Cricetulus griseus: one gene and its partners. The protein of the gene in region 4 interacts with the protein of the main gene of each other region in a pairwise test. Links are inferred from orthologs where the notes say so. Each region holds a gene or a part of one and is shown on either strand. Other genes may lie near its edges.

Region 1 (2,142 bases), on a different chromosome or scaffold from region 4:
AACTGTCCAAATGAGAGTCTGAATAGATGTAGCCAACTCCATCATCTTCTTCCTGGTCCATATCTTGAAAAGTGGATGGCTGCAGATGAGATGCAGTGGGGGGTGGTGGTGGGGGGGGGTGAGGTGACAGGCATCCACTTCTGGCAGATGTAGATGGCGATCCATCAGAAGCCAGCGGCAGGAATGCAGGTGGTCTGACGAGTTCTAACACAGGCCTGGACAATGGCTGGAGCTCAAAACACAGTTCAGATTAGAAAGGTGCCCGGATTGGTTAAAATTGAACACTGTGAACCTCAGAGCCAGGCCCAGGCCCAACTCAAGCACTCGTAGCAGGTAATTGGCACAAAGACAAGCACTAAAAGGGATGAAGGAGCGAAGTGATTGGCAGGGAAGAGAATGGCAATGCAAAGGGGGGCACGGAGGCAGCAGGAGTAGCGGTGGGGGTAGGGAGGACGCAGCGTGCAGGGTCCTCCTCATGTAGGCCTAAGGGGGCTCGGGGCCTAGCAATCAACCGCTTCACAGTCGTCGTCATCATCATCATCATCATCTTCGTCGTCATACCAGCCAAAACACTGCTTCATCTCTTCAACAAACGCGCGATAATCACAGAGAATGGCGCTATCTGTCTGGATGTACGGCACCACCCAATCCTCGGCTTTCCCGGAGAGGAGGCTGATCAGGAATGCCACTTTCATGGCGTCGTTGCAGAAGCGGTCCTCATTCACAAGCATGTAGGACATCGTCTGCACAATAAACTCGGGGAGCCGGGCGTTCTCGCCATTAAACGGTGAGGGGAAGGGCACCGGACAGCTGGGCGGACGTACCTGGCGCAGCAGAATGGCCCGCTCACACACCAGCAGCCGCAGCTGTTTCATGAGCCGGTTGTTCTCGATGCACAGGTCGCGGTGTCGCACCAGCAGCGCGTGCAGAAGCAACACCAGCTCGTCCACCATGGTGACTCGCTTGGCAGGTCTCGGGCTCTCGGGCTCGGATCGGCTCCGCGGAGCTGCTCAAGGAGGCCGTAGAGGAAGTGCGTGTCCTCAGAGGAGTGCTGACCCTGGGCACTGCGCAGAGGGGGTCTAGCTGGTGGCGGAAGCTCCACCCACAAGGTCACTCTGGCAGCCAATGCGCCAGCGCACTGCGGTGAGAAAGGCGTGGCGGAGGGGAGTGCTGGTGGCGTGGGGGTGTGGCCAGGGTGGGACTGACGGACCGAGTGGACGTGGCCCAGGAGGAGGAAGGCGTGACCAAGGGAGCATCGCCCCGGGCCTCTGTCAATTCCCCCAGCCTGATGAAGAAACGCTGGGGGAGCCAAGCCTGCCACAGTGGAGGGCTGTGCGAGCATAGAAGCTCAGCACTCAGGGCTGGCCTGCTTCAGCTTAAACTTCTCTGCAGCCGACCTGTTCATCCAATACAGTGTTCCTCGGTGGGCCTGCAGCCATCAACATTTTTTTAGAGTAATGCTTTCTTAACACATTTCCTTGCTTGTTTAAATTTCACCCAGAGAAATAACACTGACACTGAGGGTCATACTGCGGGAGATCATTTGAGTTTAGAGACTTCAAGACTTGCAAGGGGTGCTTTCATTAAATACATAAGTAATTGTCAACAGGGGCTTCTCTTCAGTTGAGACAATTTCACCAAAAGATCTCCAAATCTGCACAGAGTATCCATTTGCCAACATTCTATCTTTGATTCTTTCCATATTCCTGTTATCAGTGCCTTTGTTCCTAAGTTATAAACTGTGATGAGCTCTGTAAAATAACTTTGTCTGCCTATTTTAAACGTCATTAGTTGTCGATAACTAAGTTTGGTCCAGGATCCTTGAGCTGATAGCTATTGGGTCTGCTTTTTAAAATACATCTCCACATTCAGTCACTTCCGGGCATCTCTGCTACCTCGATCCCAGCCTTCTTTCACGGTCTGGTCTGCTACATCTAATCCCTTAGCTGTCATTCTTCCCCTTTTCTGCATATTCTCTAGAATAGCCTCAGAACACTTTTAGAATGTGAGTTAGAGCCTTTCACTCCCCATTTCGACGTTCTCCAGCAGTTTTTCCCTCTCTGCTGCTCTGAATAAAAAGCAAACCCTTGGTCGTAACATACAAGGACCTCCTTCTGCATGCCCTTTTTACATGACCTCCTG
Region 2 (4,069 bases), about 9.0 Mb from region 4:
ATGATGAAGAAATACCTTGAGAGAAAGTGACTTCATGTGTGTTAACTTTTTATTTTAAAACACCACCACCTACCTAGTAGAAGCCATGCTCACAAATACTCTGTCTTGCCCCAGTTCCTTTCACACACTCAGCCAGCGGGAGCTAACAGGTGTGGCCACACATGTGCCTGCTTGTGCTTGGCATCATCTGAGAAAGTCTCAAAGACGTTGCTCACACAGTGTTCTAAAAATATTTTCCCATTGTCATAAATGGTTGCTTCAAATTTTTATTATTACTTATTTTGGGGGGTTAAGTGAGCGCCCCGTTACTACAGAAGGAAAATACATTACATTACAATCACTTAATGGCCCCTTAGCTCCAATTAGTGCTCTGTATGCCCACAGTATTTAGGATATACCTTTCATAACTTCACTCAGTGTGATGTATCGGGACTATCACTCTGACTTCTGCACAGGGGAAGACCACCGTACAAGACAATCTTACTATCTCAGGTTTTTTAACCCTGACCAGTGGCTTACCCTGACTAGACTCTTATCAAGAGAATTGTTCTCAGTAATTAAAAATGTGCCGGGGACAGAACCAATCCTAATCTCATAGTCAAACATTCCTGCCCTGATGAAACTAAACTTGCTTCCCAAGAAGAGGGCCTTTAATATGCACATTTCCTGTCTTAAGTTTCTTGCAGCAGTCTGTGAGTTTTGGAGGCTTGGAGTTGCAAGGTATTTTTTAAATAATAAAGTTTCTAAAAACTGTTAAAGAGATTCTCGAAGTTTGGCACATAACAGGAAACAAAACAAGATAGTCAGGAATTACGTAGAGCTTACCAGGAGCCAGGTACTCTCGGAATAATTTTGTTTGTATCAACCCATTTGCTATCCACAGCAACCTTAAGAGGCAGATACATTGTTATCATTCTGGTTTTACAGACGAGGAAATCAAAAGCACACACACTAAGTTCCTGTGATTTGTTTAAAGTCTCACAGTTCCAGAGTCTACGCTTTTTAACCACTATATCCTGGTCGTTTCAATGAGAATAAATGTTCATCTCTCCTTGAGGCCCGGGTGTAGTCCCTTACTAGAGTATCCCTAGCCCCCAGGGTCTTTCTTTCCTGGGTGCCTCTGTTCTAGTAGCCTTCTTAACCCCGCCATAGCAAAGCGTCCGTGAGCCCCTATGGCCACTAGGGGGCGCCGCGGCCACGCGCCCTGTCCCCCCCTCCCGCAGGCACCCGAGGGGGCGGAGCTTGCGCTGGGCGGGGCCCGCGGACGCCCACGGCTAGCTATCCCGGCGGGCCGCGCGCGGCGGTGTTTGAATGGCTGTGAGTGGGGCCCGGCTGGGGATCCCGGGGACGCTCCGAGCTGCCGGGCGCGGTTCGTCAGCACAGTGGCTGGGCTGAGGCGCTGCGCTACCATGAGGCGCCGGTAAGTGACGGCCGCACCGGGTTGGGATCTCCGCTGCTGCTCGCTCGTGCGCAGGCTTCTCGAGCGGCTGGCCGGGCCCACCTGCAGGCCCCGCGGCGGCGGCCTTTCCCGGGCAAGGCGGCGGGGTCGGGGCGGGGCGCGGACGGGTGGGGCCGCCGGTCTCCCGCGGACCCCCCGGGCGGGCCACGGCTGGGAGCTGGGAGCTGCAGGCCTCGGGGGTCCTGGCGGGAGAGGCGTGGACCAAACCTGCTGTCATTTCTTGGTCCTCGGGTGGAGTCGACGTCTACACCCCACAGGGAAGGACGGGGCGCGTGAGAGGATCGCTGTGCGAGGAGGACAGGTTTTCGCGAGAGCCGTCTAGGCCCGGCTGAGGCATTTCCTTATTTTCGGAGGAATTTTTGATTCCCAGACAGATCGGAATTTGTTTCTCAGGACAGAAATTTGACATAGCTGCGTAAGAATTGTTGACTGCAACTTTTAAAACTCCTCGTGCTTTCTGAAAAGTTACTCTGTAATTGTACCCAGGCGCTTAACTGGGTTTACGTACGGAGATAACAAAGAGTTGATTTGTTTTCTGGTGGCTTATAAAGTGCCTTGAAAACATCTGTATCAGTTTCTTTGCAGATACGGAGGAAAAAAGTAATTGGGAGAGGAATTAGTTCGGTAATTGTCACCAATTTCGTGCTTTAAAGCATTCTGAGACACGAGTCCTTCTAATACCTGCAACTTGTGTAAAATCATTCAAGATTATTCTTCTTTCTTTTAAATCAGCTTCTTCGAGTCAGAAGTTTATGCACGGAGGCTTTTACCTGGTCAGTAATAAACTATGATGAGCAATATTTATTTTGTTTTCTGTGTGCTGAGTTGTTTTAAGAGCGTGCTTTGGAATAGGTAGTGTTATTATCATCGTTTGCCTCCTCAGCCTCTTTCTTACTAATATACAAAGTGTTGTCTTTTTATTTACTTCAGCTTCGGAGATTCTTAAGTGAGTATACATTTGTGTACACACGAATCAATCTTCACACCAGTGACAGTATCTGCTCATATTGGCCACACTTAAGTTTTATGCCCGAGCCCCTTCCCCAAAATTGTTTTTAAGATAAATGGACGTCATAAAGTTTGTAGGTTCATTTTTTAGAGATTGTGGAGAACAGCTGGAAACATTTTTTTTAAAACTATGGTACACTATTTTGTATTTGAAATGAATGTACTTAATAACTCCATGAAAAGAAATGCAATCCCAAAGCAAACCACTTCATGAGTAGTCAACAGTTCACTATTATTTATACCCAAACCTTTAAAACCACCTTCATCGGTTACCAAGGTTTTGATTGCCTCACTGTCCAGCACAGTACTGAGTCTAGTCAGCTATATGCAAGACATGTACCAGGTAACAAATATGAAGTTAATTTGGTGTGAAATTAGTAGCAAAAACATATGTGATACTCTTCTCTGTTGGTGCAGTGGGTATCTGAGTGATAATCTGAACTCAGTAAGTACTGTAGAGCTAACAGTTGAAAAGCTTATATAAGACAGTTAGTAGAAGGAGAGGTAGGGTATTTTATCGAGGAAATTGTTCGAAGACTGGGAATCCAGAAAAAAAAAATGACTTATTGGGAACATTTAGCCTGGTCTTTTGGAAGTTCATGTTGGTTAATATTATATGAAGCAAGACTGGGGAATGTTGTAAATGAGACATGTCCATGAGCTCTCTCTCTCTCTCTCTCTCTCTCTCTCTCTCTCTCTCTCTCTCTCTCTCTCTCTCTCTCTCTCTCTCACACACACACACACACACACACACACACACACACGGATTTGGGAATTTATAAACTTTTATGTCAGTGGATCTCAACTGAGTGCATTTTTCCCCCTCCATAGGACATTTGGGGATGTGAGACTCTTGTGATACTGTCAATCTGTTGACCACAGACTCTGGAGTACTTATTAAACATCCTACAATCAGATCTCCATAAGAAACAATTACTCCAAATGTCAGTGTAGGATGCAAGTCTGATAACCTGAGTTTGATCCTGGAACCCACAATAAAAAAAACAAAACCCCACAGGCCCCCAAAAGGTAGGTAAGGAGTCACAAGGCTCTAATCCCTACCATAAGATGGGAGGCAGAGGAAAGATGGGAGACAGAATCACAGGAACCTGAGGGCCACCTAATCTGTAGTAATATTACGGCATGGTAAAAAAAACGAGAGACCCTTCCTCAACAAGGTAGAAGGAGAAAAGCAATTTTCTAATGTTACCCTTTGACCTTTGTTCATAGTCTAGCATGTGCACGCACACACAAATATTTTATGAATAATTTTAAATCAATTTTTAATGTTTAAATAAATCAGTTATAAACACTTGCCCCTCAATAAAACCACTGTTAATATTTTTTTGTTTGTTTTCTTTAGACAGGTTTTCTGTGTATAGTCCTGGCTGTCAGCCTGTAACTAGCTCAGTAAACCAGGCTGGCCTTGAATTAAAAAGATCCACCTGCCTCTGCCTCTCGAGTGCTGGGATTAATCTTGGTTGGTCATGAAGCAGAGAGTTTAAAGGGCTAATTTTGAGTTTTTGTGTCTTAAAACCTAACTTTTTTGGATTTTTGAGGCAGGGTTTCTCTGTAATGGCTCTGGTTATCCTGGAACTCTGT
Region 3 (3,500 bases), on a different chromosome or scaffold from region 4:
TCCAGCACCTTCCTCACATAGTACTGCTCTTTGGAGGCTGACTCCTGGATCAGGCTCTCCTCCCGGCTCTCACCATCAGCAGCCACCTTTTTGTGGTTTGTGTGTGCTTGTCCAAATGCCTGTGTGCACAGAAAAGACCTTCATGAGATGGGTGTCCCTGGGCCACAAAGCAATGGAGGCCTAAGACCACAGGAACATAGACCTGTGAAGCAGTTCCATGCTGTGCACATGTTAAAACACACATTGAGATGTGTGTAGCAGGCACGCTTCACGTTTCATTACATTGAGTGAAACCAAACTAGTCTTAGGAGCATCATGTGGAGTGACAGGAAGGAACACTAAGAGTATAGGGTCACAGACATAGGTGGAATTTCCTTTGTAAGGGACAAAGTTTGAGGCCTGATGATGTGTGCCAGTTGGAAAGTTCCCAGGACCAGGAAGCAAATGGTCTATACTGTGAGCTTGGCCAAGCTAATGGGAAACAACCCTAGAGCAGCACACCCAACATACATTCCAGGCTTACAAAATTGTGCTAGCCATTACATGCAAGGGGTGAGGAGCCACTCCATCCTGCTACCTGATGTCAAATCATCCTTCATTTGGTCTGGGACAAACCAGGGCTGGGCCCCCAGCCCTAAGGACAGGGCACAGTAACAACTAGCTAGAGTAGCCATCTCAGGGTACATAGGCACAGAGATGCATGTATCTGCATGCTTCAGACACTGGGGTGAGGAGCAAGGTGTGGGACTCTAGGACTCAGGAAGAAAACCTACAAAGTGAGAGCAACAAGTACTGGCCTCACCCACAACACCGTGCCAGTCACACACTGGGCCCTGGCCAGCCTGGCCTCCATTACATACCCCACTGAGAGGCTGAGCTATCTCCTTGGCCTTCCTTGCCTGACTCTTTATAGGAGTCATAGCTCATGGTAAGAAACAATAGTAAGAGAAGAGTTACTAAAGAACAAGAATATGATGGTTTTCACTAGATTTAAAAGAGAACAGGACTATTTTCTTTCATTTATGACTTCATAGGTCTGGGAACTCAGTCCAAGAAAACAATAAGCAAAACATACAAAGCTACATTGTACAGGGATGCTACTGAGCTGAAGCAGTTTCTAACACTAACACATGAAAATGCAGAAAGCAATTTTCATCCTGATAGGGAACTGGCAGAATGGAGCAGGGTCTAGACTGAGGCATAGGCCGTGTCCCAGACACTGTGAGAAGGCCTCCCAAGGGGCCAGAGGATGCACAGCCCAGTAGACCCAGGGAATGTATCAGAGGGCAACTTGGGGATCACAGTGTAACACTCCTGCAGGGGACTGGATTCCCTCACAAGGTAGCCAGGCCTTGCCCATGTGCTCTCAGTCCTCTAACAGAGCATCCATTCTACACAAATCAAAGCAGCTCAGATTTGTGATTTCTGTCTGTTTGCTTTCACCCTGATCCTAGGGAAGGATCAAGTAACACATTGCTACCTGCACAGAACTTGACCCATGCTACCTGTCCACCATAAGACACACAAAGGGAACCAGACACCAAACTGGCCCCCAACTCAGGGCTCTGGGACTGTACTGAAGAGTCCAGCACCTGTGGCTGCTTAGGACACACCCATAAACTTGGGAGTTGGGGCAAGGACTTCTCAGAACTTTTCCCCAAAGTGTGATGGCTAAGCAGCGTGATACAATCTTCAAGCCCAGGCCTGCCAACCTGGGCCCCAACTCTCTTCCTCCACCCAAGCTACCAGCCTAGGGCACAGGAGCAGCCCTGGACAGCTTTTCAAACACACTGATGGAGACATCTACCTCCAACTGAGAAGACACACAGTCACAAGGACAGGTTCCACTTCCTGTGTAGGAAAAGAACTGGAAAGCACAGGAATAGTCTGATGCAACATGGCTGGTGAGATGGCTCCGCAGGTAAAAGCGTGTGACGTCAAGCCTGACAACCTTTGTACTAAAACTCAAGACTCACGTGGCAGGAGAGAACTGACTCCCCAAGTTGTCCTATGACTTCCATATGTGTATTATGGTATGTGCAGGGCATGAATGTGGTATGTGTCCACACACATACACACAAACAATGTTAAATATGATAAAATAATAAGCATCAGTTTTCAAGTCTGTAATGCCAAGTAAAATGACAGGATGAGGAGAATCCTGCAACATCCTTCACCCCTTCAGATGGAGCTTGATGGCAGGACCTGTGGAAGAAGGTGTCTATTGACAGGGACGTAAGGGCAGCCAGAGCTCAGGCCCAGAGTGAATCTTTACTGAGGATGGTCAGTGTAGGGCTGGGGAAGCCAGGGGAAAGGACCATATGGCAGAGCAGGAACAATATCCCTGCCACAGTCTGAAAACAAGCCTGTTCCCGCTAGCCAGACTCACAGGCTTGGGGAGAGCATGTCTGGGGCCTGGCAGAATCAGCCTGGATTACACGCTGCTCTAGCACAGCAGAGCCAAGTGTAAAGACAGACCATGAAAGGATTAATCCATTTCCAAGCCACTACATCCTAGAACAAAGCTCAGAACACATTCAGGAAAACAAACACATCCAGCTGCCAACAGGTGAGCTCTACGGTGAAGACTTGAGGAAGAAAGGATTAGCAGACAGCACACAGCTCTGAGCGGCCCAGAAGGGCAGGCAGGCTGAGGGCCAGGTACCAGAACCAAATTCTCAACTCAGAAGCAAAGAACAAACACAAGACATAAAGGATGCCAGTAGAAAGAACTTGTGAAGAGGAAAGGCAGGGACAACAACAGACACACCATGCATCTGAGGGATAAACCAACTCTGGAAGACAGCCAAAGTGAATGCCCAAATGGAACAAAAACAATCAAAGCAGGGCCTAACAAATCCATGAGAGCAACAGTGAGGTGCGCGTCAATTACAAGGAGCCTGTCTATCAATTCCTCACAATGCCAGTCGAAGGCCCAGCAGCTTGCAGTAGAAAACTGACGAGAGAAAGAGAGAGAGAGAGAGAGAGAGAGAGAGAGAGAGAGAGAGAGAGAGAGAGAGAGAACCTCAGATCTGAGCATGATAGTCAACAGTGAATGCATGTAATCCCAGCTACTCAGGTGGCTGAGGCAGGAAGGTAGAACAGCCTGGGCAATAGAGATGGGCCCATCTTGGGAGAAAGAACCACCACAAGTGGGTTGGGGAGACCTTGGCTAAGTGGGTAGGTACAATGCTGGCCATGTAATAAGGACCTGAGTATGAACTGCCCAAAGCTACATAAAGACAAGATGTGGTAGTGTGTGCATCTGTAATCCTAGCTTTTCATTATTTTAAAGTACAAGGGCTGAGAGAGGCTCTGCAGGTAAAAGCATTTGCCATTCAAGTCTACTAACCTAAGTTCAATCCCCAGACCCAGGTAAATAAAGGTGGAAGGAGAGTCAGTTCTACAGAGTTGTCCTCTAACTTCTATAAACACACACAGACAGACAGACACAGCGGCATGTGTACACGGGGTGGGGGCGGTGGATAAATTAAAAAAAT
Region 4 (4,239 bases):
CCTACATGACAAACAATTTTACATACTGAGACCCCCTGCCTGTCTCCCCAAATTGAAACACTATGAACTGGGAAAGTTCAGGATAGCTTGCCTGCTCTGATGTCTAACTGGGAGTTTTTCCAACATGAGTTTACATAACATAACTTGTCTTTTTTTTTTTTTTTTTGAGACAGGGTTTCTCTGTGTAGCTTTGGAACCTGTCCTGGAACCCACTCTGTACACCAGGCTGGCCTTGAACTCAAAAAGATCCACTTGCTTCTGCCTCCCGGGTGCATGGGATTAAAGGTGAGCCATTACTGCCAGGCCCTACTTGGCATTTTTACTTACTAGTCTTTAGAACAAGTACAAGAGCACGGTGTGGTGGCTCACACCTGTACTGTCAGTGCTGAGAGGACTGAGACAGGAGGATCATTGCCAAGTTTCAGGTCATTCGGGGCTACAATACCACAAGAAACAACTATATGTCCAGGTGGTGGCACACCTTTAATTCCAGCATTTGGGAGGCAGAAGCAGGCAAATCTCTTGAGTTTGATGCCAGCCTGGTCTACATAGTTAGTTCTAGGATGGTCAGGAATATATAGGAAAAACCCTGTTTTGAAAACAAACAAACAAAAAAACCCAACCCCCACAACCAAAAAACCAAAACAAAAACCCAAACCCTATATGAATAAAATCAGTTTTTCAAATATTTACTATAAAAATATTTTTATAGTGAAAAGACTCCCTGCAACAGACCAATCAATGCTGTTTTCTCTTTATCAGCTAATTAGAGTCATTAGGCCTATGGAGGTATTTTCTTTTCCCCCAAGACAGGGTTTCTCTGTGGCTTTGGATGCTGTCCTGGTACTAGCTCTTGTAGACCAGACTGGTTTCAAACTCAGAGACCCACCTGCCTCTGCCTCCCGAGTGCTGGGACCAAAGGTGTGCACCACCATCGACTAGTGGAGATGTTTTCTGAAGCTGCTACTCCTTGGCTATATAACTTTGGTCATGCCACTTCCCTAACCCTCTGCTGCCTTAGTTCCCCACCTGTGATATAGGTATAGTAGTACCAATTTTGTAAGATGTTCTACAGATTGTAAGAATTAGCAAATGTAACTTATTTGGGATAGTATATATATGGCACACAGTAAGCACAAATATTATCAACTATCATCTCCATGACAGGTCTCAGTTCAGACAAATGTAACTCTTGTCATACCTCTCTTCCACATCTTCACTAATGCGATTCTGTAAACGCCGAAGTCGGGGGTCACTGGATGAATCTTCCTCCTGTTCCTCAGGCTCTGCTTCTTGTTCCTTAGCTTTCTTAATGAATTGAAATTCTTCATCCTCTTCATCTGAGGACTCCATAGGGGCATAATCTGGCCTTTTCCCAGATACATAACGTTTTACTTTCACTTTTTCCATTGAAATCTCACCTGGACAAGAAAGATAATTTGTTTCAGTAACCTCTTTCCTAATTCCCTGCAATTCTTGGCCTTTGCAGATAGAACCCTAAGTTCTTGATGGAGCAGAGTCTAGAGAGGATATGGCAGTTATTATCCAAGTACATATTCATCTATCAGTGGGTTCCTATAAAGACTATGGCATGGGAAGGCATTTTATAAATACCAAAACTAAGACATCAAGAGGTACCTCGGGGACAACAAAGTAGAAGACTGTGAACAATGAAACTGCAGACCCTCTCTCCCTGCCCCCCACCTACAAATTGAGGCTTTGTCATCTCAACCCTTAGTGGTGATTTGAATGAGAACATGACCCATGATCAAATGTTTGAACACTTGGTTCCCAGCTCCTCTCTCTGAGATGCTATGATAGCCTTTATAACATAATTTAATATTCTAATTTTATCAATTTTTCTAACCCTTATGCTGAACCAGATGTTCTCTAAAACACAAACAAGTTGGAGCTGAAGAGATGGCTCAGCAGCTAAGAGTACCTGCTGCTCATGCAGAGGACTGGATTCATATTCCAGCACCTACACGGCGCAGTCTGTAACAGTCTGATACTCCAGTTCCAGAGGATCTCATACTCTCTTCTGGCCTCTCTGGGTACTGAACCCACATGGTGGCTGGCATACACACACAAAAGCAGAACATCCATACACATGTAATAAGAATACAGAGAAACCTTGTCTCGACCCCCCCCCCCAAAAAAAAAGTGGAAATCCTTATAACCACCTGGGAAAAATCAAAGATAGCTTGGATATAACATACACACAAAGATCTCCAGCTCACTTATATTTTTACTTTTGTTACTGTTTCGGTTGTGAGTCTAGCCTTTAACGGCTGAGCCATCTCTGTGGCTCTATTTTTTATTATTTTTAACGATGCTGTGTGTGGATACGTGCAGGTACCAGCAGAGGCCAGAGGTTTTGGGGTTACAAGTGGTTGTTGAGTCGCCTGATGTGGGTGCTGGAAACTGAACTCGGGTCCTCTGGGAAAGCAGTACGTGCCCTTAACCGCCGAGCCACCACCTCTCCAGCCTCCTTTACTTTTTACTTTGAGAGGTGATCTCAGCAGGTCGATCAGATAGAGAGACGCAAGTGTATTCCGCATCCCTCAATCTCTAGGGTACATGACAGGGTGCGGATTCAGGTGGGACGGAGTCGGTGGGGCTGAAACGGCCAATCTAAGGCAGGTTTGAGGGATACTGAATCAGTAAGAGGTAAGATCAGACAGGAGGAGGGAGGGGAGGGGAGGGGAGGGGAGGCAGTACCTTTCTCATTGCGAACTGGGACGGCCCCAGCCGTAGACTGAATGGGCGGCTGCTTCATGAGTGCGCTTGGGACCGACATGGTGACGGCCGCGGTGGAGACTCCCAAAATTTGATTAAATCCCAACAACGAAGTCCAAGGAACACAACACCTCCTCCCACCTAGCGCCGCCGCCAGACGCTGCTGCGCGACTGACAGAAACGACTTCCGGCAGAGCTAGAGGAACCGGAAATATGCCGGCAGAGGATTGTGGGATTGCGGAGGGACGCTGAGCGCGGGCTGCTTAAAGGGCCAGGCTGAAATTTTACGCGTCTTCGTAGGTAAGTTTCCCGCCTTTAATCTCTGAAGATTTGGAAGCTCCTTTTGGCGGGCAGTTGCTTCTTTGAGGTTTTGGTGAGGTTCAGGAGGGTTCGCCTCGCCCTTAAAGGTTTCCTTTGTTATGTTTTGGAGAAACGGAGCAGATAGTGAGGGGCTGCTTGTGCATCTTGTTGAAACCCCAGAAGTGTGGAGTCTGAGCCGGATATGCGGGTCACGTTTGTAATCCTAGCATCTGGTAGGCTGAAACAGGATAGCGGCGTTTGGAGGCCAGTCTGGGCATCAGAATGAGACCCTGCTTTTAAAAAAAAAAAAAATCCCTAAGGGCCATCTGTTGGTTGGAGCACACTCCGGAGGCTGAAGCAGGCGGATCTCCGAGAGATTGAAGCTAGTCTGGTCTACAAAGACAACATTCTGGGAGTTCAATATTATAGATGATCTTGAAGGTGCTGTTAATATAATTGTCAAATTATTTCACTTGTTTTCTGCAATTGGGCTCTTGCTGGTTGAAGACTGAAAACTGGCAAACTTTAAATTAGTGAGTGCTTACAATCAACGAAACAAGGACGAAGCCTAAGCACTAGAAAAGCCTTAAAAAAGGCAAATGTAGATGGAAATCTTTATTCTTCTTTATTTAATCTTGAGACTGTGTTTTGCTGTGTTGCCCAGGCAGGTGTTTTGTTTTTTTGTATGTTTTTTCACCCTCGATTTCTGAGTTGCTAGGATTAAACACACAGGTGTGTCACTTACAGAAATTTTATATTATGAAACCGGGTGGTGGTGGCTCACGCGTTTTTGTTTTTTTTTTGTTTTTGGTCACCCCTGGCCATCTATAGGTTTTCTTTAGTTCAAAACAGGTGCATTTTTAAAAAATTTTATTTATTTATTATGTATACAACATTCTGCTTCCATGTGTATCTGCACACCAGAAGAGGGCACCAGATCTCATAAAGGATGGTTGTGAGCCACCATGTGGTTGTTGGGAATTGAACTCAGGACCTCTGGAAGAGCAGTCAGTGCTTTTAACCTCTGAGCCATCCATCTCTCCAGCCCCGCCAAGTGCAATTTAAACCAGCATTATCAGTTATTAGAAACAAGCAACACATAATGCATCTTTTTTTTTTCTTTATTCTCCTTATTTTGAGACAGGGGTTCACGTAGCTCCGGCCTCCCTTGAACTGCCTGTATAGCTGATGACAACTTTG
Region 5 (4,249 bases), on a different chromosome or scaffold from region 4:
CAAGAAAGCCTGCTATGCCAAGGAACCTAAAAGGCTATGTTCTCAGTGAAGTTAAGACCCACTTGTGTCAAGACTGGAGAGACAGCCTGGCCATTTGGAACACATGCTGCTCTTTCAGAGCATCAGAGTTTGGTTCCCAGCTGCCACATCACAAACACTGCAGCTCCAGCTCCAGGGGATCTGACACCCTTTTCTGGCTTCTGTGCGCACACACACACACACATACACACACACACTAATAAGAAATATTTTTTTAAAAATAGCTTGTGCTGGGGCTGGAGAGATGGCTCAGAGGTTAGGAGTACTGGCTGCTCTTCCAGAGGTCCTGAGTTCAATTCCCAGCAACCACATGGTGGCTCACAGCCATCTATAATGAAATCTGGTTCCCTCTTCTGGTGTGTGTATACATAATAAATCTTTAAAAAAATAGCTTGTGTTGGGGCTTGTGGTGTAGAGCAATGGTAGAATGCATGTTTAACACACACAATGCCCTGGATTAACCATAGCACCAAAGAGAGGAGGGAAAAAGGTGTGAAAATGTCTGCTCAACTCATTCCCTCATAGTCTGTGAAAAGCAGGAATAATCTTTTTGAGATTTATTTTATGTGTATGTATTTTGCCTGCATGCATAATGCCCATGAGGGGAGGGTTCAGAAGGGAGCATCAGGTCCCCTGGAACTGGAGTTAGACAGTTGTAAGCTATCATGTGGATGCTGGGAACGGAAACTGAGTTGTTTGGGAGAGCAACAAGAGTTCTTAACCACTGAGCCATCTCTCCAGCCCTACCACTTTTTTATTTAATTTTTGAGACTTGGTCTTACTATACATAGCCAGTGGATATACTGGTATAATTGTTCCATAGACCAGGCTAGCCTCTAGTTTGTGGTGGTTACATAGACCAAGCTACCTTCTATTTGTGGTGGTTATGTAGACCAGGCTAGCCACTAGTTTGTGGGGGTTACATAGACCAGACTAGTCTCTAGTTTGTGGTGGTTACATACACCAGGCTAGCCTCTAGTTTGTGGGAGTTATGTATAACAGGCTAGTCTCTAGTTGTGGTGGTCCTCTTAGGTGTTTCAACCACAGGCATGTGTCACACAGCCTGGCTCCTGGCTGGAATCTTATTCCTGATGCTTCTGTCACAGATTTGCACCAAGCCACCCGGATCTTGCAGTTTTTACTTCATCTGCAAGGTCTCATGTCTGTACACGTGAGTCCTGTCCCTTCGCTCTCCCTGACCTCTGATCTAGTTTACAGCCTACTGGAACCTCTATGAATGATACAGGGTAGGAAAGCAAGCCTATGAATTTATAAAGAATTATGATGTATGCATTTATTTAGTTGGTTAGACAGGGTCTCACATAGCCCAAGCTGGCCTTAAACTCATTCTCCGGCTGCCACCTCCCAAGGGCTGGGATTGCAGCCATGCATCACCATGCCCAGCTTTTTTGTTTTTATTTTTGAAATGTGTGGACAGAATGATATCAGTGACTTAACTTAGCTATGCCCGGCCTCATGACCACAGCTACACAGGCATTTCTGGGAAGTACAATTCTGCTTCTGCCTTCTCTCTGTCCATAAATCACCTGAGTATCAGTTGGTCCATGGGCCTCTTCACCAGGTCAGGAGGGCTCACAGGTGTGAAACTGGGGAAAACTTCTGCTTCCCTGGCCCACTGTGTCTAAGCAGCTCCCTCATGGAGAGAGGAGCTCTATCTCAAATATACACAGCTCGGCTGGCATCATAGGCTTTCTCACTGGTTTGTCACAAATTTTTAATTCTAGGGTTTAATTTTATGTTTTGGGGATCAAGTTCAGGTTGTCAGCTTTGGTAGCAAGTGTCTTCACTGTCTTGCTGGCTCTATTATTTTTTTAATACCTCATATTTCATTGATCTCATCTATGGTGTGTAAAGAAAGTAAATAAATAAAACCACAAAGCCTCAAAGTAAATGAAATCTAGTAAGGCTCCCACAAAGTCCAGGCAAGACCACCCTCCTTGCCAGTTTCTGCCAGTCTCCCTGGGGTCCTCCTTCTGACGCTGTGCACACAGGCTGTGCTTGCCAGGCTCTGGGCAACTGCTGACTCGTGCTTCCTCTGGGATCCCACAGCCTCCAACTCTCCTGCCACTGAGTTGGGGCAGCGTCACCATCTCCCGCCTGTGGGACCTGCCACCCAGTCCCTTCCTAGACCTGACCCAGCTGTCCCCAAGCCCACCTGGAAGACGTCATTGGCACACTTGCGGCACAGGTTGTGCTGGCAGGGCAGGATCACCACGGGCTTGGAGAACATCTCCAGGCAGATGGGGCAGATGAGCTGCTTCTCCAGGTTGTCCATGTTGTGTGCATCCCCTAGCAGCGGCTTGAAACCCACGGTGAAGTTCATCCCTTGGCGCTCTAGTGCCTGCCTTGGCCCTGTTTCTGGCCTTCTCTCGCTGCCTGTGCACACTTCTTGTAAACTTTAGGCTGTCTGTGGATTCTTAGGATCCCTGATCTTGCTCCCTCTTGAAAGGGTGATGTTTCCTGTTTCTCTCCCTCTAACGGCCCCTCTCACCCTGGCTATTTCCAGACGCTTCTGTCTGCACTCCCTGTTCAGAGCCGTCTCCACAAACTTGTCCCTTTAGCTCCCCCTGAGAAATTCTCTTGCTCCCCCAAACCACCCTCGTGCTCACTCTACAGGCAGTACTCTTTGTCCCTTGCTCGCTAGAGAGGTTAATATTACTGTGGGGGTAGGGAGACAAGGGGCATTTGTGTGACATTCCAGTTCCCAATTTAGCTCATGTAAGGCGAGCCACAGCTGTCCCGGACTGAGTGACCCTGACTCACTCAGCTGGTGGCTTTCTTGAGCAAGAAGAGCAGCAGGGGTGTCACTGCTTTCAGTGGGTGGTGGGTCAGTGTGGGGCTCACTTGTCACTGGGAAGGTTCCTGCAACCTCTGCTCTCCGTGTTCTGGCTTGAGACCTTCTTCCTAACAGAAACTAGCACATGGGAGAGACAGCACACATGGCTCAGGGTGGGAAGGATGGTCTGGACGGATCTACAGACTTCTGTCTCTCCCTTTTATACTGAGCATTGATCCTGACCCTCCTCCTGGAGACTCAGGATTCAGAAGTGGAACTCCAGACCCTACAAAAGAGAACTTCTTGTCCCATATGTCTGGTCCATATTTGTTCTTGTTCAGCCTTAAAAAAACAACTACATTTATTTACTTTAGGGAGGGGTAGGTATGACATGGAGCATATGTGGAGGTCACAGGTCACTGACAGGAGTCACTTCTTTTTCTTCAGTGTGGGGGTTACAGAAATCAAACTGAGGTCATCAGAATTGGTGACCAATGCCTTTACCTATTGAGCAATCTAGCCACAAACTTCCCTCTCCCTTATTAAAGACAGGCTCTCAGTAGATTAGGTTAACCTTGAATTCACTGTCATCAAGGATGACCTTGAACTCCTGATCCTCTTGACTCTACATCCAAAGTGCTAGGATTAGGGGAGAACACCATTATTCCCAGTTTACGAGGTTCTGGGCGTCAACTCGGGGTCTTTTGTGTACTAGAGAAGCACTGTGCTTACTGAACTACATCGCCCTTGGATGGCCAGTTATATCATCCTAGGAGAGCAGCTGAAGAGGCAAGAGATGGCTGCTGTGCCAGCCCAGGCCTGCCTTATGATCAGGGCATGAGAGTGTGTGATTCTGGTCTACCACTGAAGCCATTTCAGGGACGCTAAATTTGCTTAGAATCTGAGACAGTAGTGGACTGGAGATGTCTCAATGGTTAAGACAGTCTCATGAGGAGTGGAGTTCAGATCCCCAACACTCACAACCACCCTTTACCACAACTCCGAGTGACTCAGCGCCCTCTTCTGGCTTCCACAGGCATGCACAGACAGATGTGCAGACCCATTTACACAGACACACACATGCAGACACACACACACACACACACACACACACACACACACACACACACACACACATATAAAAAAGGAAAAGTGTGAGAACAGATGTGGCTGGAAACATTCCGAATGCTGCAGTTGTCTGGAACACCAGTGAACCAGTCTGCAGAGCAGTCTCAGGACACTGACAGAGGCACCACCACTGGGCATCTTTGACCCCTGGCTCCATTGTGATCAACTCTACCGACCATGGCAGCCTCATCCCAGGCCTGAGCAATAATCATTGATCTTTTTCTCTATCCCCCACACAACTTGGACACAGTGGAATTGGACAAGGCTTTTTTATTATTGACATTC
Region 6 (3,350 bases), on a different chromosome or scaffold from region 4:
CCCGGCCTGCAGCAGTCCCAGGTGGGCTTCCCATCTGTAAGCAGCGCACCGGGATGATCATGGCGGTATCTCTGCTCGAAGGAGGCAGACCCTGCCTCTCTGAAGCCCCAAAAGGGGCTTCCATCCTCTACCTTAAATGGGTCACATACACACCTGGAACCATGCCCAAAGGGAGTGACTACTGTTCATAGGCAAGATGCTGCTATAATTAGCCTCTGGACCTAGAGACCTCAGGCAGGGGAGAGGCAGGTGGAGTAACCAAGGCAGGGAGTTGATACCCAGGCTCTGGTGGGATGGGACACAATTGCTTCCCTGACCCCATCCACCTCTTAGTCCACACCTAGTTGTCCAAGCATGGCAGGCTGTGCGGAGAGACCTGCCCAGGTGTCCAGTGGAACATGGCAGGTGGTGTGGTGAGGCCTGCCCAGGTGTCCAGGCATGGCAGGCAGTGTGGTGGAGTCTGGGCAGTGAGGTAGCTTGGTGCCTTGGAAACAGACGGGGAAAACGATAAAGATAACACTTTATTTCATTAGGCTGAGACTGCAGTCTCAGGCCACAGCCTGGCCACCAAAGTGGCCTCAAGCAACCAGCATATGGGACTGGAGGCTGGTGTGGGGCCACCTTGGGACAGTGCAGGGAGGGGCTCTAAAACAGGAGGAAGAGGAGAGGCCCAGTGTTTGGGACAAGAGAGGAGAGTAGTAGACTGTGATCTGGCTTGGTCGTCCCTAGCAGCTGCTCCTGCTAGCTAGGGACTAGAGACGGAGAGACAGAGTGGCTGCTTGAGCAGAGGCTCTGGCTAGTGTTTGTGGCACGATGCAGCTATAGGTGGCAAAGGGGTCTGGGGACAATGTGGGGTATAGGCTAGGCAGAGGTCCAGTGGCTGTAGAGTGAGGATGCCTGCGGGCAGATGGAGGCTAGATGGAGGTCTGGCGGCTGAACAGCTCGATGGTGAGGGCGCTGAGGAAGGCAGGAATGCTATCTTGCTGCAGCAAGTGCAGCTCAATGAGCTCAGGCACTGAACGGGAGAACTCCGTCTCCAACAGCTGCATCTTGGAGCCTGAGGGTCCTGTGGCCTGCAGGAGGAGAAAAGAGAGGGGCATCAGTGCTGATTGTTGGGCAGGTGTCTGCCCTTTGTCCTCACATGCTCCCAGTGGAGGGGGTGAGGGCCCAGGAAGGCTGTACTCCTGCCATCGCAAGAGCAGCCTGGGCTAGACGGGCACTGGCCTGCTTCTGCCCGATGCCCATTGAGGCAAAGCACGAGGTCATCCGCAGAGGGAGCTGAGATTCACAGCAGGCAGGCAGTCTTGCCTCAATAGGATTTGGATTCTTGGGGGCTTCAATTCCAGTCACCAGCTCTTCAGCTGTCACATGCTTGACTTGGGGAGGCAGAGTAAGCCCCAAGCATCTTCCAGACTGTGAAGCCAGGATGCTGGGTATTGGCTGATGGAGGTTTGGTCCTGGAAGGGTAGACTCTGGAGCCCAGACTGGTTCTTTCCCTGTTTTCTTATGTCACTTATAACTGAAGGGAGGGCATAGTGACTCTGTGATGGCTGTGATGGGGAGGTGGGAGTGGAGCTTGCAGGTAGGCTCAGAGCTGCAATGGTACACAGCTTGGCCTCCCGGGGCATGCCCAGGTTACTTGGCTGTTTGGCCAGGCTGCCCTCTTACCATGTAGGCTAGGCTGGGAGAAGCAGACAGAGGCCCTGAGTGAACCTCCTTGTAATCCTGAATTTCCCTGCTATCACTTATCCTGGGGCCTCCCCTGCCAACTGGCCCAGGAATGCTGCAGTGGCCAAAGATGTAGAAGGCCTGCTTGACTAGGGAAGAAAAATTCCTGTTTACAAGGCCAGGCAAGAAGTGGTCACAAACCCACTCTGGATTGCTCCCAAACCTTAGGTCTGATGTAGAACTGGTATCTAGCAAACCTAGAGCCCCTCCTCACTCAGCCACAGAAACAGGACCCGGCTGGGAGGCGGGTATAGGTCAGACTGGATGGTTCTCCAAAGAAGAAGCAGGAGGGTCTGATAAAGTTGGTGGGCTTATGGGGTCATCAGGGCAGATGTCAGTCAGGCCAGAGCCCATTAGGAAAGGTGGATGAGGAGGAGGAGAAATCAGAAGACCTGGGCATCATTGCAGGAAGCTCAGGTATTATGGAAAAGCCTGGCAATTCCTCCGTTATGACCCATTGGTACCCCTCCATTGTGCCCTCAGAACATGTAAATACATGTATCCACAGTAAGATGTACATGGGATGTCCACAGTGATATGATTCATATGTACACACACACACACACACACACACACACACACACACACACACACACACACACACACTCTTTAGCCCTGAAAAGGAACAAGGGGACAAGACATGATGCATGATAGCTCAGGGTCAACTTTGAACATAGTGATGCCATTGACATGAGGCATCCATACAAGACAATATGTAGAGGTAGGAGGCAGATTGGTGTGGACCAGGATGAGAGGGGAAGGGAGTGCCTGCTCCAGTGATAGTGTTTCTCTGTGGATTAGCCTGTGCCAATGAATGCACAATGGATGTGCTAATGAGAACCCAAATGCATGGCCACCGTGAAGCCAAGGCAGGGATGAATTTGTTCTGAAAGGTCCCTTCCTGCCAGTGGCTCTGCAGGTGCCTCTGTTCCTGGGAGCCATACAGATGGTCAGTCTGCTCCCATGGGTCCTGGCAGCCCATGACTACCACTGACTCCCTAGCATGAGCAAGAGAGGACCTGGGGAGCAGCCTGTGCCCCCAACCCCTCCACCTCCATCCCTCGTGGGGCATCAGGGCATGTGAGGTTTTGTCTCAATGACTCCCTGAGCTGTCTTCTGACTTGCTTGTTACCTGGGTTTTCCTCCTGTTTTCTCACGTGGGTCGACCCCCAGCCTGTTCCCTTGGCCCTTATTACATTTGGCCTTGTCATAGTTCAACACAAACCATCTTTAAACAAAAATAAGAGAAACCACTCTGACCTTTTCTCGAGAAAATCCTTTCATTTCTCCCTTCTGCTCTCGACTCGCAATGTTTTTCCCGAAATGTCAGAGGGGCTGACTCTGAGGCGGCTGTTGGGGAAGGAGCAGGCGGAGCTGTGGGGGTAGGAGCAGGGTGCCAGGAGAGCCTCCAGGGTTCTTTCCTGTCCCCCATGGTATGGGTCTCCTCAGCAGGAGATGTCATGCCTCTTCTGCACCCCCCCCCAGGTGTAGGGGTGTGTGTGTGTGTGTGTGTGTGTGTGTGTGTGTGTGTGTGTGTTTAAGTGTGGTATTAGGGGTGGAACCTAGGGCCTCATACGAGTTAGAGGCAAGTACCCTACCACCAAGCCACACTCCCCAGCCCT
Region 7 (4,131 bases), on a different chromosome or scaffold from region 4:
TCCAGGCCAGCCTGGGTTACATGTGACCCTATTTTCATTAAATAAGATAGTGTCAAACTCACCAGTGGGACTGTTACCAGAAGCCCTGCCATGAGCAGCGGCCTTGCCTCCTGGGGTCCAGTGTGTGAGTTCTGTCCCAGGGGCTTTGTCCTTGTCCTATGGGCCAGAGAGTCTCCATGCTCCCTCTTCCCCTCAACTGCATACCCCCCCCCCTTAGCTCCTCACTGGGGCTGGGCATCCTAGTGGACCAGGCCTATTGGGCCTATTGTTTCTGCTCTCTCTCTCTCTCTCTCTCTCTCTCTCTCTCTCTCTCTCTCTCTCTCTCGGTTTTCCGAGACAGGGTTTCTCTGTGTAGCTTTGCAGCCTATCCTGGCACTCGCTCTGGGGTGCAGGCTGGCCTCGAACTCACAGAGATCTGCCTGCCTCTGCCTCCCGAGTGCTGGAATTAAAGGCGTGTGCCATCAACGCCCCGGCACCTCTGCTCTCTGATCTTTGTGGGTCACCTGTGCATAACAGTCGACTTTTGTCAGGGTCTGTCTCAAGTATGGGACAGACAATTGCCATACAGCTCAGGCTGGCCAGAAATTGTAGGAATCCCTCTGCTTCAGCTTGCTCTGAAATGTTGGGCACTAATTAGCCCCGGGAACTATTTTCCTTTTATATATTTATGTTTTTATTTTAATTATTCTTGAGAAAGGGCTCATGCAATCCTGGCCAGGCTAGCCTCAAACTCAGAGAGATCTGCCTGCCTCTGGGCCTCCGGAGCGCTGGAATTAAAAGGTGTGCACCACCTCTGTTTCCAGTAGGTCTCTAACTTTTGTTATTTTTGAGACGGAGGCTCATGTAGCCCAGGCTGTATGGGAACTCACTGTGTAGATCAGGCTGGCTTCCACCTGTCTCAACCTACCTTGCACTGGGATTAAAGCCTTGCACCATCACTCAAGTCTTTTACTTTCTGTTGCTGTTTTGAGATTGGGTGTTTTGTAGCGCAGATTGGCCTGGAACTCTTGGTCCTCCAGCCTGTACACTTCAGTCAGTGGTGACAGGCCTGGCCCCTTCCTACCTCCGTGGGACGGGTATCACCGTGCCCCCAGCCGTGCCAAGCCTCCCCTCCCCACTCCAGAGAGGGCGAGGCACACCGTAGGCGATTCATAAATGCACCTTGGGGTCTGGGCACTCAGACTGTGGGTCTGGGGCCTGAGAGTGGAGTGGGGGATCGAGGCAGGCTTCGGGCCAGGGCTCGGGGCCGCGGCGGGGGCGGGGCGCGCGGGGCCAAGGTCACGGGTGGGGCGTCCGGCCTGCGCAGTGCCGGGCGCGGCAGGTGGAGCGGGAGCCCGGGCGGCACCGCGTCGCCATTACACAATAGCGCGGGCGGCGCGGGCGGGCGGCGGGCGGCGCAGGAGGCGGGACGCGGGGCCCCGGAGCTGCCGATCGGGGACAAAGCGCGGCCGCCCGGCGCCCCCCGAGCCGCCCGAGCCGGGGCGCAGCCCGCGCCCCCCGCGACTGACATGATGTTTCCGCAAAGCCGGCACTCGGTAAGGGGGACCCCGCGCTCTGCACCCCGGAGCTCGCCCTGCACCCCCGGTGCTCGCCCTACATCCCCAGCTCTGCTCACTGAACCCCCGGAGCTCGGATCCCGCCTGTCTCCCCGCCCAGGGCCTGCCCCAGGGGCTCCCACCGGCGCTGTCCCCGGGGTCTTTGCACCCAACCACCCAGGCCGTGCGCACCCCACCGGCCCAGCACTGCATCCTTCAGCCCGGACCCCTGAACTTTGATCCCGGCCTCGAGCCCACCCCGTGCTGCCTGCCCATCCCGACTCCGGACCAGCCTGTCTCTCAGCCCGGGGCCCCGCACCCCACTCCAGCCGCATCCGGCCTGTCTCCCAGCCCTGGGGCTCAGGCCCAGGGCTGCAGCACCCCAAGCCCAGGCCGCACGTGTCCTCCAGCCTGAGACCTTGCACCGCCACCTCTGCGCTCCCGCACCCCTCCGCACCAGCTCGCTAATGGCCCCAGACCAGCCTGCCCCCAAGTCCAAGGCCCTGCACTTCCATCCCTGCCCCCAAGTCGGCTGCCCCGCACCCCAGAATATAGGCTCCGTACCCACTGCCTCTCCCCCGAGCCCTTTCGGGCCTGGCGTCACCATCCGGGCCCAGCGCCACCCCCCAGCCCGGCCCTGTGTCCTGCAGCTGCAGGCCTCGCACCCCAGAGGCCTGCCACCTCCCAGCCCCCATCCTGCACCCTCAGTACCGCAGTGTGGGGGACCCTGCGCCTTTATAACGCCCACTGTGCCTCTGCCCCTGTCCGGAGCCCGAGGACCCCCCACGCCCGCCCTCCCCCAGCTCCAGGCGCCGACCCCCCGCACATCCCTCCCACCCCAGCTCCCGGTGGCCCGGCAGCCCCCACCCTGCTCCCAGCCTTGACCCCAGACTCTAACTGTGCTCCCCAGATCCGAAAACCTTACACCCCAACTCCTGGCCCAGTGTCCTCAGATGCCAGCCCTGTGCATCCCCTCACCCCCAGGGACACCTCTCGGCCCGCCCCTGCACCCTAACATTTACCATCTGCCTCCCTGACCCCAGGCCTGTCTTCCTCCCATGGCTTTCACTGGGGCTGGGGGGAACCCCGCGAGGCACCCCTGGGGCTGGGCAGCTTTGGGGGGAGTCCCCTGAGGAAACAGGTGTGATGGGGGTACGCCCAGGAAGTGTGGGGTGGTAGCTAGGTGCATCTTCCAAGCTGGCTTTGAAGGCAGGCCTGTGTCCTGTTTGACGTAGAGGGGCTTCCCGGGGACCCCTCAGAGGCCGCTGGAGGATGGGGTGCCTGCCCCCCAAAATGACCAACGGTAAAAGCGCCTCCTTGCCTGGGGGCCTCCCAGCCCCCTGCAGGCTTCCTAGGAGAGTGCTGCTGGGGCCTGCAGAGCTCAGCCAGGAAGTAGGGCGTGGGCGGGCAAGCAGGCCCTCACCCTCCCGCACCCTCACCCGCACCCGCAGGGCTCCTCCCACCTCCCCCAGCAGCTCAAGTTCACCACCTCCGACTCCTGCGACCGGATCAAAGATGAATTCCAGCTGCTGCAAGCCCAGTACCACAGGTGAGCCCGCGCCAGGAAGGCCGCACCCCCAGAATGTAGGGGTTATCTGTGGTCTGGAGAAAGGCTGGGAGGGGGTGGAGGCTTGAGGGTCAGCAGTTCAAGGTCATCTTCAACTACTTAGCAAGTTAGAGGCCAGCCTGGGATACATACCACCCTGAGTCCAAAACCAAACCAGCAGCCCCGTAGTGTGGAGGGGGAAACCGAGGCACACAGTGTGTGTTGCTTCAGAAGCCGGGTCCCCAGAGAGCGTGATGCTCTCATTTTAACACAGGCTGCAGTGGGTGTCCAGAGAGGGTTATTAATCAGCCAAGGTCCACACAGCCCCTCCTTCTCTTTCTGTCCACTTATGGAGTGGGGGAGCTTGCTGGTGTCCCACAGACCATCCAACTGACGGGCTCCCACAAACTGTTTTCCTGTTTCTCATGTGTGAAACTAATCACTCTGAAGCCCAGAGAGCTCAGCCATTTCCGAGGGCTGCACAGCACAGAAGCAGCCTGAAGTAGGGGACTGGGGAAAGCGTGGCCTGGGGTCCCCATTTGACCCTGTACTCCCAACAGTGAGTGAGCATGGGGGTGCGGCCCAACACTCAGTTCTCAGACACACAGGAGGAGGATGGAGGCGTTTTGGGCTAGCCTGAGGTACAGAGCAAACCTATGTCTCAGAAAACAAATAGTAATAATAGTAATAGTCTTTGAAAGATACTCAGAGTTCTCCAAGAAAAAGGAAATCTTGGGTTTGTGATTTTTTTTTAATTTATTATTTTTACTTTTTGGTATTTATTTTGAGACAGGGTCTCATGTAGTCCAGGCTTCCTCCAGCTCCCTTTGTAGCCAAGGATGACCTTGAGCTGCTAACAGTAGATGACAGTCAAGAAGGGGCCCAGTGGAGCTTCATGTGCTAGGTCAGTGGAAGCTACCTACCAGGCCACAGCCCCAGCATTTGTCATTTTAGAGAGGGCACAGGTGTGCCCCCCCCCATGGTCTCCCACTCGGGTCCGTGGCCCCGCCCTCCTCAGGGATGCCTTCTCTGAGCCCGGGCCTGAGTTCC

Evidence for each region.
Region 1: the proteins of Mfap1 (region 4) and protein LDOC1-like interact in binary tests that used the Homo sapiens proteins (3 or more experiments, as listed by UniProt). The two-hybrid records come from large-scale screens. The link is inferred for Cricetulus griseus from reciprocal best matches to the Homo sapiens genes MFAP1 and LDOC1.
Region 2: the proteins of Mfap1 (region 4) and Katnbl1 interact in binary tests that used the Homo sapiens proteins (3 or more experiments, as listed by UniProt). The link is inferred for Cricetulus griseus from reciprocal best matches to the Homo sapiens genes MFAP1 and KATNBL1.
Region 3: the proteins of Mfap1 (region 4) and Bicd2 interact in binary tests that used the Homo sapiens proteins (3 or more experiments, as listed by UniProt). The link is inferred for Cricetulus griseus from reciprocal best matches to the Homo sapiens genes MFAP1 and BICD2.
Region 5: the proteins of Mfap1 (region 4) and Trim54 interact in binary tests that used the Homo sapiens proteins (3 or more experiments, as listed by UniProt). The two-hybrid records come from large-scale screens. The link is inferred for Cricetulus griseus from reciprocal best matches to the Homo sapiens genes MFAP1 and TRIM54.
Region 6: the proteins of Mfap1 (region 4) and Mad1l1 interact in binary tests that used the Homo sapiens proteins (3 or more experiments, as listed by UniProt). The two-hybrid records come from large-scale screens. The link is inferred for Cricetulus griseus from reciprocal best matches to the Homo sapiens genes MFAP1 and MAD1L1.
Region 7: the proteins of Mfap1 (region 4) and Tle5 interact in binary tests that used the Homo sapiens proteins (3 or more experiments, as listed by UniProt). The two-hybrid records come from large-scale screens. The link is inferred for Cricetulus griseus from reciprocal best matches to the Homo sapiens genes MFAP1 and TLE5.

The regions. Positions count from the first base shown.
Region 1 is NC_048604.1:11,336,581-11,338,722, forward strand, and holds protein LDOC1-like, read right to left. Parts: upstream 954-2,142; coding exon 501-953; downstream 1-500. UniProt on the Homo sapiens protein: May have an important role in the development and/or progression of some cancers.
Region 2 is NC_048599.1:65,978,194-65,982,262, reverse strand, and holds the start of Katnbl1 (KATNB1-like protein 1), read left to right. Parts: upstream 1-1,269; 5' UTR 1,270-1,420; intron 1,421-4,069.
Region 3 is NC_048596.1:269,172,759-269,176,258, reverse strand, and holds part of Bicd2 (protein bicaudal D homolog 2), read right to left. Parts: intron 120-3,500; coding exon 1-119. UniProt on the Homo sapiens protein: Acts as an adapter protein linking the dynein motor complex to various cargos and converts dynein from a non-processive to a highly processive motor in the presence of dynactin.
Region 4 is NC_048599.1:56,936,828-56,941,066, reverse strand, and holds the start of Mfap1 (microfibrillar-associated protein 1), read right to left. Parts: upstream 2,801-4,239; coding exon 2,722-2,800; intron 1,422-2,721; coding exon 1,202-1,421; intron 1-1,201. UniProt on the Homo sapiens protein: Involved in pre-mRNA splicing as a component of the spliceosome.
Region 5 is NC_048600.1:13,268,719-13,272,967, forward strand, and holds the start of Trim54 (tripartite motif-containing protein 54), read right to left. Parts: upstream 2,801-4,249; 5' UTR 2,384-2,800; coding exon 2,216-2,383; intron 1-2,215. UniProt on the Homo sapiens protein: May bind and stabilize microtubules during myotubes formation.
Region 6 is NC_048597.1:76,648,391-76,651,740, forward strand, and holds the end of Mad1l1 (mitotic spindle assembly checkpoint protein MAD1), read right to left. Parts: intron 1,074-3,350; coding exon 915-1,073; 3' UTR 501-914; downstream 1-500. UniProt on the Homo sapiens protein: Component of the spindle-assembly checkpoint that prevents the onset of anaphase until all chromosomes are properly aligned at the metaphase plate.
Region 7 is NC_048598.1:102,308,504-102,312,634, forward strand, and holds the start of Tle5 (TLE family member 5), read left to right. Parts: upstream 1-1,331; 5' UTR 1,332-1,508; coding exon 1,509-1,535; intron 1,536-2,986; coding exon 2,987-3,084; intron 3,085-4,131. UniProt on the Homo sapiens protein: Transcriptional corepressor. Acts as a dominant repressor towards other family members. Inhibits NF-kappa-B-regulated gene expression. May be required for the initiation and maintenance of the differentiated state.